Linked DNA regions of Ovis aries. The protein of the gene in region 3 purifies or fractionates together with the protein of the main gene of each other region. This does not show direct contact. Links are inferred from orthologs where the notes say so. Each region holds a gene or a part of one and is shown on either strand. Other genes may lie near its edges. The genes, in order: PI4KB, RAB11FIP1 and RAB11B.

Region 1 (3,651 bases), on a different chromosome or scaffold from region 3:
CTGAGATTGGGAACAGAAGGGATGTTGGCCTCATCCTCTCATTTAGAGTCTTAATGCCACTGTGTGCTTCCTCACAGTCCATTTGGGAACAGGAGCGAGTACCCCTGTGGATCAAGCCATATAAGATCCTCGTGATCTCGGCCGACAGTGGCATGATTGAACCGGTGGTCAACGCTGTGTCCATACACCAGGTGAAGAAGCAGTCGCAGCTCTCCCTGCTCGATTACTTCCTACAGGAGCATGGCAGCTACACCACTGAGGCCTTCCTCAGCGCCCAGCGCAATTTTGTGCAGAGTTGTGCTGGCTACTGCTTGGTCTGCTATCTGCTGCAGGTCAAGGACAGGTAGGTGAATTCCTGTCCCTCATCCTTAGCTTTTCTCCAGGGTTTCCTGTCTCCCCATTTATTCATCACCACCTTCCACTGCCAAGATATGAAGATGAAACAAACACATTTTAGGTCGAGACAGATGTATTCCTGTGCTGTTAAGGCAAGGAGGCAGACTGACAAGTACCAGGGCAAGGGGCAAAGAAGTGAAGCATTTATGGGAGGAGCAGGGGTCTGAGCATGCAGAGTCTTGAAAGACAAAGGAGAATGAGGACAGAGAAAGCTGTGGATGGAAAAGGAAGGATGTTCCAGGCAGAGGAAACAGCTCGAGATCCTTTAAGCACGAGCCACACTGCATGGCACAGTAACAGTGACGTCACGTAAGTCGAGGCTGGATTAGTAGGGCCTTCATGAGGCCCAGGAGGTTTATTCTGCAGGCAGAGGAAACACCGTGAGCCAGTCTGTGTTGAGTGAGTGTGCCCTGTGGCACTGTGGGCAGGGTGGATCAGTGGACCTTCAGCTGTCAAACAAGAGGTGATGAGGCCTGGTGTGAGGGCAGTGGTAGAGACTGAGAGCAGAGAGGAGCAGATGAATATGAAAGACACGGTGGACACAAGTTGAAACTCCCAGCTCTGAATTCTCCTCTTGTGGCATATGATTTCCAAAACTCAAGTTGTTTTGCGCAGAGCTGCCATTTCTGCCAGTATCATGTGACCTTTAGGAAGCTCGTCTTTGCACATAGGTGAACAACATACCACACAAAGGTTGTTACACCCTTGAGGCCCTGTTTTTAAGACTGTCTCCAGACAGTGACTCAGGGTCAGTACTGGACTGCAGCTGTGAGTTGTGCCTCTCAGGGCACAGGGCAGCTGTCCTGGGAAAGCACTAGCCCAGTGGCCTGTGCTTCCAGGGTTCCCAGTGGCATGGCAGCACATTAAGGTTAGCCAGCGGAGCCGCTTATCAGAGATCTAGCATCTGTTAGGTGCCTGCGATGCCTGACATTGTTTAAAATTGAAGTATAGTTGATTTGCAATATCATGTTAGTTTCAAGTATACGGCAAAGCGATTCAGTTATGTATATATATGTATGTGTGTGCGTGCATACACAGAAGCCTGGTGGGTTCAGTCCATGGAGCTGCAGAGTCAGACACGACTTAGTGACTAAACTATGTGTGTGTGTGTGTGTGTTGCTTAGTCGTGTCCAATTCTTTGCAACCCCATAGACTGTAGCTCACGAGGCTCCTCTGTCTATGGAATTCTCCAGGCAAGACTACTAGAGTGGGTCGCCTAGAGGATCTTCCCAACCCAGGGATTGAACCCAGGTCTCCCACATTGCAGGCAGATTCTTTACCATCCGAGTCACAGGGATATATATACACAGACACACATACATATTCTTTATCAGATTCTTTTCCATTATAGATTAATACAAGATATTGAATATATTTCCCTGTGCTATACAATAAATTCTTGTTTATTTTATATAAAGCAGTGTGTATCTGTTAATCCCTCCTAATTTATCCTCCCTTCCCCTCTGGTAACCATTGATTTTCTGTGTCTGTGAGTCTATTCCTGTTTTGTAAATAAGTTCACTTATTACTCTACCATAATATTTATCTTTTTGTCTGACTTATTTCAGTTAGTGTGATGATTTCTAGGTCCATGCATGTTGCTGCTAATGGCATTATTTCATTCCGTTTTTATGGCTGAGTAAAACTTGGTTCCAAGCTTTAGACTGTCTCTCAAGAGTCAGGATTTGGAACCCAGGGCCCAGAGAGCCTAGAGCCTGAGCCCCTATGTTGAGTAAGTGGGGGCAGGGAAGCAGGTGATACTCAGGCCTCTGGGCTTTTCTTTAGGAAACTAATATATTTAAACGATGAGAGTCCATCCTTTAAAAGTGGAGGAAGAGACGGGCAGCTGGTAAATCTTTCATTATAACTCAAAAAAGAATAGAGGTAGTTAAGTCCTGAATGGACTCATCCACTGGTGAGAAGCCTCAGCAGTGAAGGGGCCCCCGAACGAGTGTTTCAGAATGAGGGCCCTGCAGCAGTGCAGCGGTTAAGGAGGGAAGCGTGACTGCCCTTCATCCACTGGCTTGGGGCCTTTCACAAGTCAGTCGTTTCTTCTCTCAGGGCTTGTCTCCTCACCTGTAAAATGCGAGGCTGGACTAGGACATCTGGGGCTTTCTGGCTCTCAAGATTGAGTGTTGCTGAATTTGTTATGCTTCCCCAGAAGGGTAGAGACTCAGATGGGACTGGGTTATCCCTGTCCCTCTTCTTTTGGCCAGTCAAACCAACCCCAGAGAAGGTGGCCTCAGACCGTGAGCTCTTAGCCTAACAAAGCCTCTTTTGACTCTGAGGAGGTCCCTTATGGGCCAGGCCTCACATGCTTAGCATGTTAATTTTTCCCCTCCGACTGGCCATTCATATAGGAATCACAAAGACCTGGGATTTCTCTCTTGTCTTCATGCAGCTAGCCTGTAGGAATTGCCTCCTGGGAATTTTTTTACATAAGTGGTTTTACCAGACAGTTAAAGCTGACTCTTTGAAGCCCCCACACTATTTTACATTTAAACTCCACTCAGCCTGGGATTGCTGTTCCCTTCCAGTGGGGTTTCTGATTTGCAGTGGGCCAACAGGAATTACAAACAAAACACAGGTAATTAGGTTGTAACTGGCCGCCTCCCACTAAGCCAAGTGCTTGGCCTCTGTGACAGCTGGCCAGAGTGCAGAGGCTGGCTTTTCTAGCTTTCCAGTTCTTTACTAGATTGGGATTGGGTGCTTAGAAGCGCGATTATTGGGAAATGGGGATAATCTTAAAACTCTGTTATTGTTAATGATAGCAAGTGAGACCCCATTGCCTTTGTTAGCAGTCTACTTTTCTAATTTCCTTTCTTCCTCCTGCCAGCTTTGGGTTCTAGGGGCTGGACCCAGAGTTCAGCAGGAAAAGTGGCAGGGCCCTTGCCTGGTGTCGTGTGGCCAGTGTGTTGCAGCTTCAGCTCCCACCTCAATCGGACTTCCTACTGTCTCTTCCTCCCATCTGCCCCCTCCTCAGACACAATGGGAACATCCTGTTGGATGCAGAAGGCCACATCATCCACATCGACTTTGGCTTCATCCTGTCCAGCTCACCCCGAAACCTGGGCTTTGAGACATCAGCCTTCAAGCTGACCACGGAGTTTGTGGACGTGAGTGAGGAAAGAGAGGTGCCTCACTGTGGTGTCATGGGAGGGGCAACTGGTAGTCTCTCCGCAAGTGGGAACAAACAGATCAGAAATGGGAGTAAGTCAGGGTGAGGTTGGATGTCCTGGGAGGCTTCCTGCCTGG
Region 2 (2,457 bases), on a different chromosome or scaffold from region 3:
GACTAGACAGACTTTGTTGGCAAAGTAATATCTCTGCTTTTTAATATGCTATCTGGGTTGGTCATAACTTTTCTTCCCAGGAGCAAGCGTCTTTTAATTTCATGGCTGCAGTCACCATCTGCAGTGATTTTGGAGCCCAAGAAAATAAAATCTGTCACTGTTTCCATTGTTTCCCCATCTGTTTGCCATGAAGTGATGGGACTGGATGCCATGATCTTAGTTTTCTGAATGTTGAGCTTTAAGCCAGCTTTTTCACTCTCCTCTTTCACTTTCATCAGGAGGCTCTTTAGTTCTTCACTTTCTGCCATAAGAGTGGTGTCATCTGCATATCTGAGGTTATTGATATTTCTCCCGGCAATCTTGATTCCAGCTTGTGCTTCATCCAGTCCAGCATTTCTCATGATGTACTCTGCATATAAGTGAAATATAAGTTAAATATACCAACCTCGTGGTAGGGCCAAAAGGAAAAAAAAAAAGAAAGAAAAGGTAATGAAACAAAAAAACCAAACCAAAAGACGAACATGCAGCAAAGGCCATCTGTGGCCTGGGCAACGTGAGATACTAACTCTCTGGCCCTTTACAGAAAGCTTCGTTGGCACAGATTTTCACTGAAATTGCAAATGAATTCCCAGGAGACTCAGATCACAGACTCAATCACTAAAAGCTACCTCTTCTGTATTTCTTTTATTTACTTATAACTAGTTATTTGTTCATAAATATTTACTTGGCTCTGCCAGGTTTTAGCTGAGCCACACAGGGTCTTAGTTGTGCCTTGTGGACTCTTAGTTGTAGCATGTGGGATCTAGTTCCCTGGCTGGGGACTGAACCTGGGTCCCCTGCATTGGGAACGTGGAGTCTTAGCTACTGGACCACCAAGGAAGTCCCGGTATTTCTCTGAGATGTTTGACCTCTTGGCTGACTTTGTCAATTTTCTTGTTGTCTCCCCTTCCCGCCCTCCCGCCAAAGAAATACAAGCCCTCGGACCCTGCATTTGCCTACGTGCAGCTGACCCACGACGAGCTCATTCAGCTGGTCCTCAAACAGAAGGAAACGATCAGCAAGAAGGAATGTCAGGTGCGCCAACTGGAAGACTACATCGACAACCTGCTGGTCAGGGTCATGGAGGAGACCCCGAACATCCTCCGGGTTCCCTCTCAGGTCGGCAAAAAAGCAGGAAAGATGTGATCCGCCGGCCTCCAGCATCGAGACTCTGCCGTGAGTCTGTCTCCACCAGCTCCTGAGGCCGAGGACTCGCTGTGCCCGACAGCCGGGCACAGATTGCCATCTTCCTCCTAGGTTATCTGGCAGGAGTCCCTCCCACCCACGTAAGCCAGGTCAATGACTACAATGGATCTTTTCACTGTCCATTCCCAGGGTTTCATTTTTAAATGCCACTGTGCCTTTAACCACGTTGTAAATATTTTATGGTCTGACCGGAGACATGGTCATAAGATCTGATCCTGGCCCAGAGGTTCAGATGGCACTGGGGGGTATTAATTAATGTATTTTAAACATTGGGATTTTCTTTCTTTGAATTTGAGATTTTTAAAGTACATCTCCCCCCGGTCTTTAAAGCTTCAGGTGAGATGACAAGGACCAGGCGATTGGGGCTGTGTTGCACATACCTTCTTGGCATTTGAGTAGCTCAGGCTTGGCATTTTGGCTGCAGATGCTAAATTTTTGATACCTTGTAAACGTGCTTGACTCCTCGGACTTGGTCTTTTGTTTTGACTGGAGCAGAGGAGTGCAGAGTGTGCCTTTGAGATTTATAACAAGCTGCTTTTTCCAGACATCAGCCTCTACACCACAGTAGCCTTTAAAATCTGCTCTTTATCAATGGAGAGGGGCTGTCTATGGAGGGAAGCAGACCAGGAGACTTAGAGTCACTTTGCACTCAAGGGAATTGGTCAAAACCCCTCCTCTGGTGATCACAGAGCCCCTGTGACTGGAGTGGCCGAGACAGTGCCTTGATTAGCCATCGAGTGCCCCAGGCGCTTGCTAAAATGGTTCTACCAGGTGTGGAGCGATGGCAGGGGGTCCGTTGGCCCTCTCCCCCCATGTCTTCGCTTGGCTCCCTGGTTTCCTTGGCAGCTCTTCGTGGCCTCTTCCCTCCTTAGTATAACATTGTGAAGAGCAAGATGATATCTATTTTTAGATGGCTGTGTTTTTAAAACTAGATTGACACACTTTTTTTTTTTTTTTTTAAACTAGGACCCCTTAACTAATAGCACCAGTTCAGATTCTTCAGGGCTTCCCTGGTGGTTCAGCGGTAGAGAATCCTGCTGCCAATGCAGGAGATGGGGGTTCTATCCCTGGGTTGGGAAGATCCCCTGGAGACTCTTCAGGTAATTTCATTGTTAGTAACCCGATATTAGAATGTTTTCTATATTACTCATTTTTTGTTGTTGTTCCAGTTGAGACAGAATCTCATCAAATCCCGACATCTCTCCTCGGGAG
Region 3 (4,152 bases):
TTGAAGGCAGGAGGAGAAGGGGGCAACAGAGGATGCGATAGCTGGATGGCATCACTGACTCAATGGACATGATTTTGAGCAAACTCTGGGAGATGGTGACGGACAGGGAAGCCTGGGGTGCTGCAGCCCATGGGATCGCAAAGAGTTGGACACAACTGAGTTACTGAACACCACAACCATCTGGGAATTATCTTTGTTTGATAGATGAGATGCTGCTTGATTCATGAATCTTTTAATAAGGGCAATAAGATCTTCACATTTACTCAGTTGAATTTTGTTTATTAACAGGATTGAGAGGGAAATACATACTTTAATGTCAAGGGAAGATAAATAAATCCTCCTTACGGGGGAGGAGATGTGGAATAAAGCAGGATAAAGAGACAGAGAAGGGGAGAGTGTCTGACATCCCACATGTTGTTGTTTAGTCACTCAGTCGTGTCCAACTCTTTGCGACCCTATGGACTGTAGCCCACCAGGCTCCTCTGTTCATGGGATTCTTCAGGCAAGAATACTAGAGTGGGTTGCCATTTCCTTCTCCAGAGTCAAACCTGCGTCTCCCGCTTGGCAGTGGGATTCTGACATCCAGTAAGGATTTATAAATATTTGTTAAACAAAGACCCAATGACTGACGGTGGGTGGTAGATTAAGTATCTGTTTAGGTAAATGATCTAGTTATACTCCAAGATTCCCTAAGGTTTCTTCCCTGTTATACAGAGTGAGGAAACTGAGGCCACTGCAGGGATGGAAACTGCAACCCAGAAAGAAGGGGACCTCTAAGAAGAAAAGGTCCACACGCAGACTCCAGGAGCTGTCATTTACTGGGGCAGCGAGGGTGGGAGTGAGCGTACCGCAGAGCAGCGCGCATTGACCTATGACGTCATCGGGACGTTAAATAGCGTAACACTACCTGGACGTAGCCCTATTTCCCTTCCCGGACAGGTCCTCTGATGGCCCGGTACCATCAGAATCAAACCTCTCATTGGCTACTCCCCCCGTCAATCCGTTCCATTCTTCCAGTCTTCCGCCCCGCCTTCCAGAACTCGCTTCTGATAGGCTGGTGAAGCTGTCACTTCGGAAAGGTCCGCATTCCTTCCGCCTTTCTCCAGGAGACCGAGGGCGAAGAAGGTGGGTCTCCGGAGGCGCCCACCCCGGAGGCTCTGCTTCCGTCTCTTATTGGCTGCCCTGGGTGCCGGTCGCTACACCACCCACCGTTGATTGGCCATTCGGCCGCCGCTCTGCGCGGCGCCGGCTCCGCCCCCGTCGGGTGTTTGTGGTGGGGCTGCGGAGTCGCCGATCCCGCCGGAAGCGCCAGGACAATGGGGACCCGGGACGACGAGTACGACTACCTATTCAAAGGTGCGGTCGGTGGGGCACAGACGGGCAAGCGGGCGGTAGTAGGCAGGAGCTGAGGCTGCGCTTCAGGCCTCTGGGCCTAGGCCGGAGCCCAAAGCTTGGGGCCCGGCAGGCCGGGCAGCCGGGAAAGCCAGTGAAGGCCGGTCTTGGTCAAGTTCGGGCCAGGGTGCGCGGCCATGCGAGGCCGGCTGCCCAGAGAGGCTTGGGGGCCCGGGATGCGCCGAGGCGGGGCTAGGGCCCAGAGGGGGTGGGGCCCCGGGCAGTGGGAGAGGCCGTTAGGGGCGGTGCCTTCAGAGGGGCGGGGCCGCCCCAGCATTTGGCGGGCCGGGCTGAGTGGAAAGCTCCCTTCGTGATGGGGGCGGGGCCGTTAGAGGCGGTGCTAGGATGTGGTGGGCGTGTCCAAGAAATGGGCTGGGCGAATGGGGGCGGTGCTCTCACCGAGTGGGAGGGGCCTGTTTTGATTAGTGGCAGTGCATCTGTAGGTTGCCCGGGAAGGTAGGGGCGAACAATGGGGGTCAAGGTGTGTGTGGGGGGGCCTGGACCCTGGATTGGGAAGTGGAGTCGGAAATGCGTTGAGGGGCACCTGAGTTGGGGGAGGTGCCGGGAGTTAGGGACTGTGTGCTAAACCCAGACCTGATGGTTAACTCTTAGAACTCTTAAGAGCACTCTCCAAGTACCTGCACTTTTCTAAGCACTTTACACACGTGAATTCATTGAAGCCCTCGCCACCACCCTGTGAGGTCGGTATTGTATTATCCAGTCTTTCTCTTTACGAACCTGGAAACAGGCACAGTTTATGTGCTGGAGCAGGATTTGAACCCAGACCACTTAAGCAGTGTATCTGGGGTTGTCAGATCTGAGTGGGGTTGTCAGACCTCCTCCTCCAGCCTACCGAAGGATCTTTCTTGGCCAGGGAACAGAGGGCTCTAGGAGCTTCAAGTAAGAGGTGGGCAGGTCAGGCATCCATTGCTGGGCTGGCTTTGGGGTCACTGACTTTCCAGAGCCTTCTGTGCCAACCTGGGCTTTGGCCAGGTCCTGTGCCGCTGAGCTGTGCTCCCTGGCCAACACTGGCCACCCTTGAGAGCTAACTTCAGACCCACTCAGGACACCCTTGCCATGCTACCTCCCATGCCAGCCTTTGGCAACTTTGCCTCATTGGGGGAGCTTGGTCATGGCTGTGAATGTAGTGTGTTCGTCACCATGTGTCTGTGGTATCATCCCCGGTTGAGTCTGGGGTTCTGGGGACCTTGGGGATGTAGAAAGTGGGCTCTCCAGTGGTGAACGGTTTCTGGGCAGAGGGAGTCCCTGTGCCACTCTGTCACACAGCATTGTGGGCTCCAGGAGCTGCTTGCAAGCTCATAGGTTGCCAGCAGGTGAGGCTCTGTGGTCGGCAGGCATTGGGCTCAGGTGCTGACTGAGTCCTGGGGGGTCTCACTTTAGAGGCGAGAATGGACACTCTGTCAGGGCTTTGAGGGTGGGTGACAGGTGACCTGGATGCCAGTCCTGCAGCAGATGGTGCCTGTGTCTACCCAGCCTACTCCAGGGGACTGCTCCCCAGGTGCTGACTGGCCCCCACCTGCATGTGTAACTGCTGAGGCAGGCCTGGGCAGGGGCTGTTCCTCCCAGGGTCTCTTTTCTTTTCTAAATATTATTTATTTGGCTGCATCAGGACTTAGTTGCGGCATGTGGGATCTAGTACCCTGACCAAGGATCGAACCCTGGCCCCCTTGCATTGGGAGCATGGCGTCTTAGCCACTGGACCACCAGGGAAATTCCCCCTCCCAGTGTTTCTGTGGTCCTTCCTCACTTGTTATTTGCAGGGCTGGTTTAGGGGTCACTGACTTTCCAGAGCATTCTGTGCCAACCTAGGCTTTGATCAGGTCCTATGCTGCTGAGCTGGGCTCCCCAGCTGACATTGGCCACCCTTGAGAGCTAATTCCAGGCCCACTCGGAACACAACCATTTGTTGTTGTTAATAATCCAGTTCCAAGTGTTTGCACGAGTCATCTTTTGTCCTGTGGTTTATTTCCTTGAAGTCTGTTCCCAGAAGTACAGTTACTGGGTCAGGGGCACTGGAACTGGGCTGTGCGCTTCCCAGGACCCATCTCCTGAGTCCTCTTTCTGGAAATACTTCAGGGACAACTGGCCCCAGGGGGCAATGCCTGCCTGCCCCACTGCCCTCTCCGCCTGCGCTCCAGCAGGTGCCCTGCTGACCTTGAACTGGGTCAGAAGTGACAGTCTAACCCACAAGGTCAGCGGTTCCCAGTCTGGTCATCTGAGACCTCACCTTCACACTTAATGCCTTGTGAGAGGACCTCTCTATTATTTTTTGACCCTCTATTATTTATTTTTGGCTGTGCTAGGTCTTTGTTGCTGTGCAGAATTTTCTCTTGTTGCGGCAAGCGGGGGCTACTTTCTGTGGGCTTCTCATTGCTATGGCTTCTCTTGTTGCAGAGCATAGACACTAGGGCATGCGTACTTCAGTAGTTTCGGCTCCCAGGCTCAATAATTGTGGCACACAGGCTTAGCTGCCCAGTGGCATGAGGGATCATCCTGGACCAGGGGTCGAACCTGTGTCTCCTACACTGGCAGGCAGTTCTTTACCACTGAGCCACCAGGGAAGGACCCCCGCCCCCCGCCAATTATCTTTTAATATTTGTCTGTGAATCCACTCAGTTAAATAGGAAAAGGAAATTCTGACTCTGGGAAATAAAGAAGGAAGACACCAGGCAGGTGAGCTGCCACCATCGCATCACTGGCCATAAATATGGCGAGTGGACAGAAACGCGAATACGCTTC

The links.
Region 1: the proteins of RAB11B (region 3) and PI4KB purify together in Homo sapiens (co-immunoprecipitation; 3 studies listed by BioGRID and IntAct, with this or other methods). This does not show direct contact. The link is inferred for Ovis aries from reciprocal best matches to the Homo sapiens genes RAB11B and PI4KB.
Region 2: the proteins of RAB11B (region 3) and RAB11FIP1 purify together in Homo sapiens (affinity purification with mass spectrometry; 3 studies listed by BioGRID and IntAct, counting the BioPlex papers as one, with this or other methods). This does not show direct contact. The link is inferred for Ovis aries from reciprocal best matches to the Homo sapiens genes RAB11B and RAB11FIP1.

The regions. Positions count from the first base shown.
Region 1 is NC_056054.1:101,206,143-101,209,793, reverse strand, and holds part of PI4KB (phosphatidylinositol 4-kinase beta), read left to right. Parts: intron 1-77; coding exon 78-343; intron 344-3,379; coding exon 3,380-3,512; intron 3,513-3,651. UniProt on the Homo sapiens protein: Phosphorylates phosphatidylinositol (PI) in the first committed step in the production of the second messenger inositol-1,4,5,-trisphosphate (PIP). May regulate Golgi disintegration/reorganization during mitosis, possibly via its phosphorylation.
Region 2 is NC_056079.1:32,209,379-32,211,835, reverse strand, and holds part of RAB11FIP1 (rab11 family-interacting protein 1), read left to right. Parts: intron 1-966; coding exon 967-1,185; 3' UTR 1,186-2,457. UniProt on the Homo sapiens protein: A Rab11 effector protein involved in the endosomal recycling process. Also involved in controlling membrane trafficking along the phagocytic pathway and in phagocytosis. Interaction with RAB14 may function in the process of neurite formation.
Region 3 is NC_056058.1:14,761,915-14,766,066, forward strand, and holds the start of RAB11B (ras-related protein Rab-11B), read left to right. Parts: upstream 1-1,301; 5' UTR 1,302-1,316; coding exon 1,317-1,356; intron 1,357-4,152. UniProt on the Homo sapiens protein: The small GTPases Rab are key regulators of intracellular membrane trafficking, from the formation of transport vesicles to their fusion with membranes.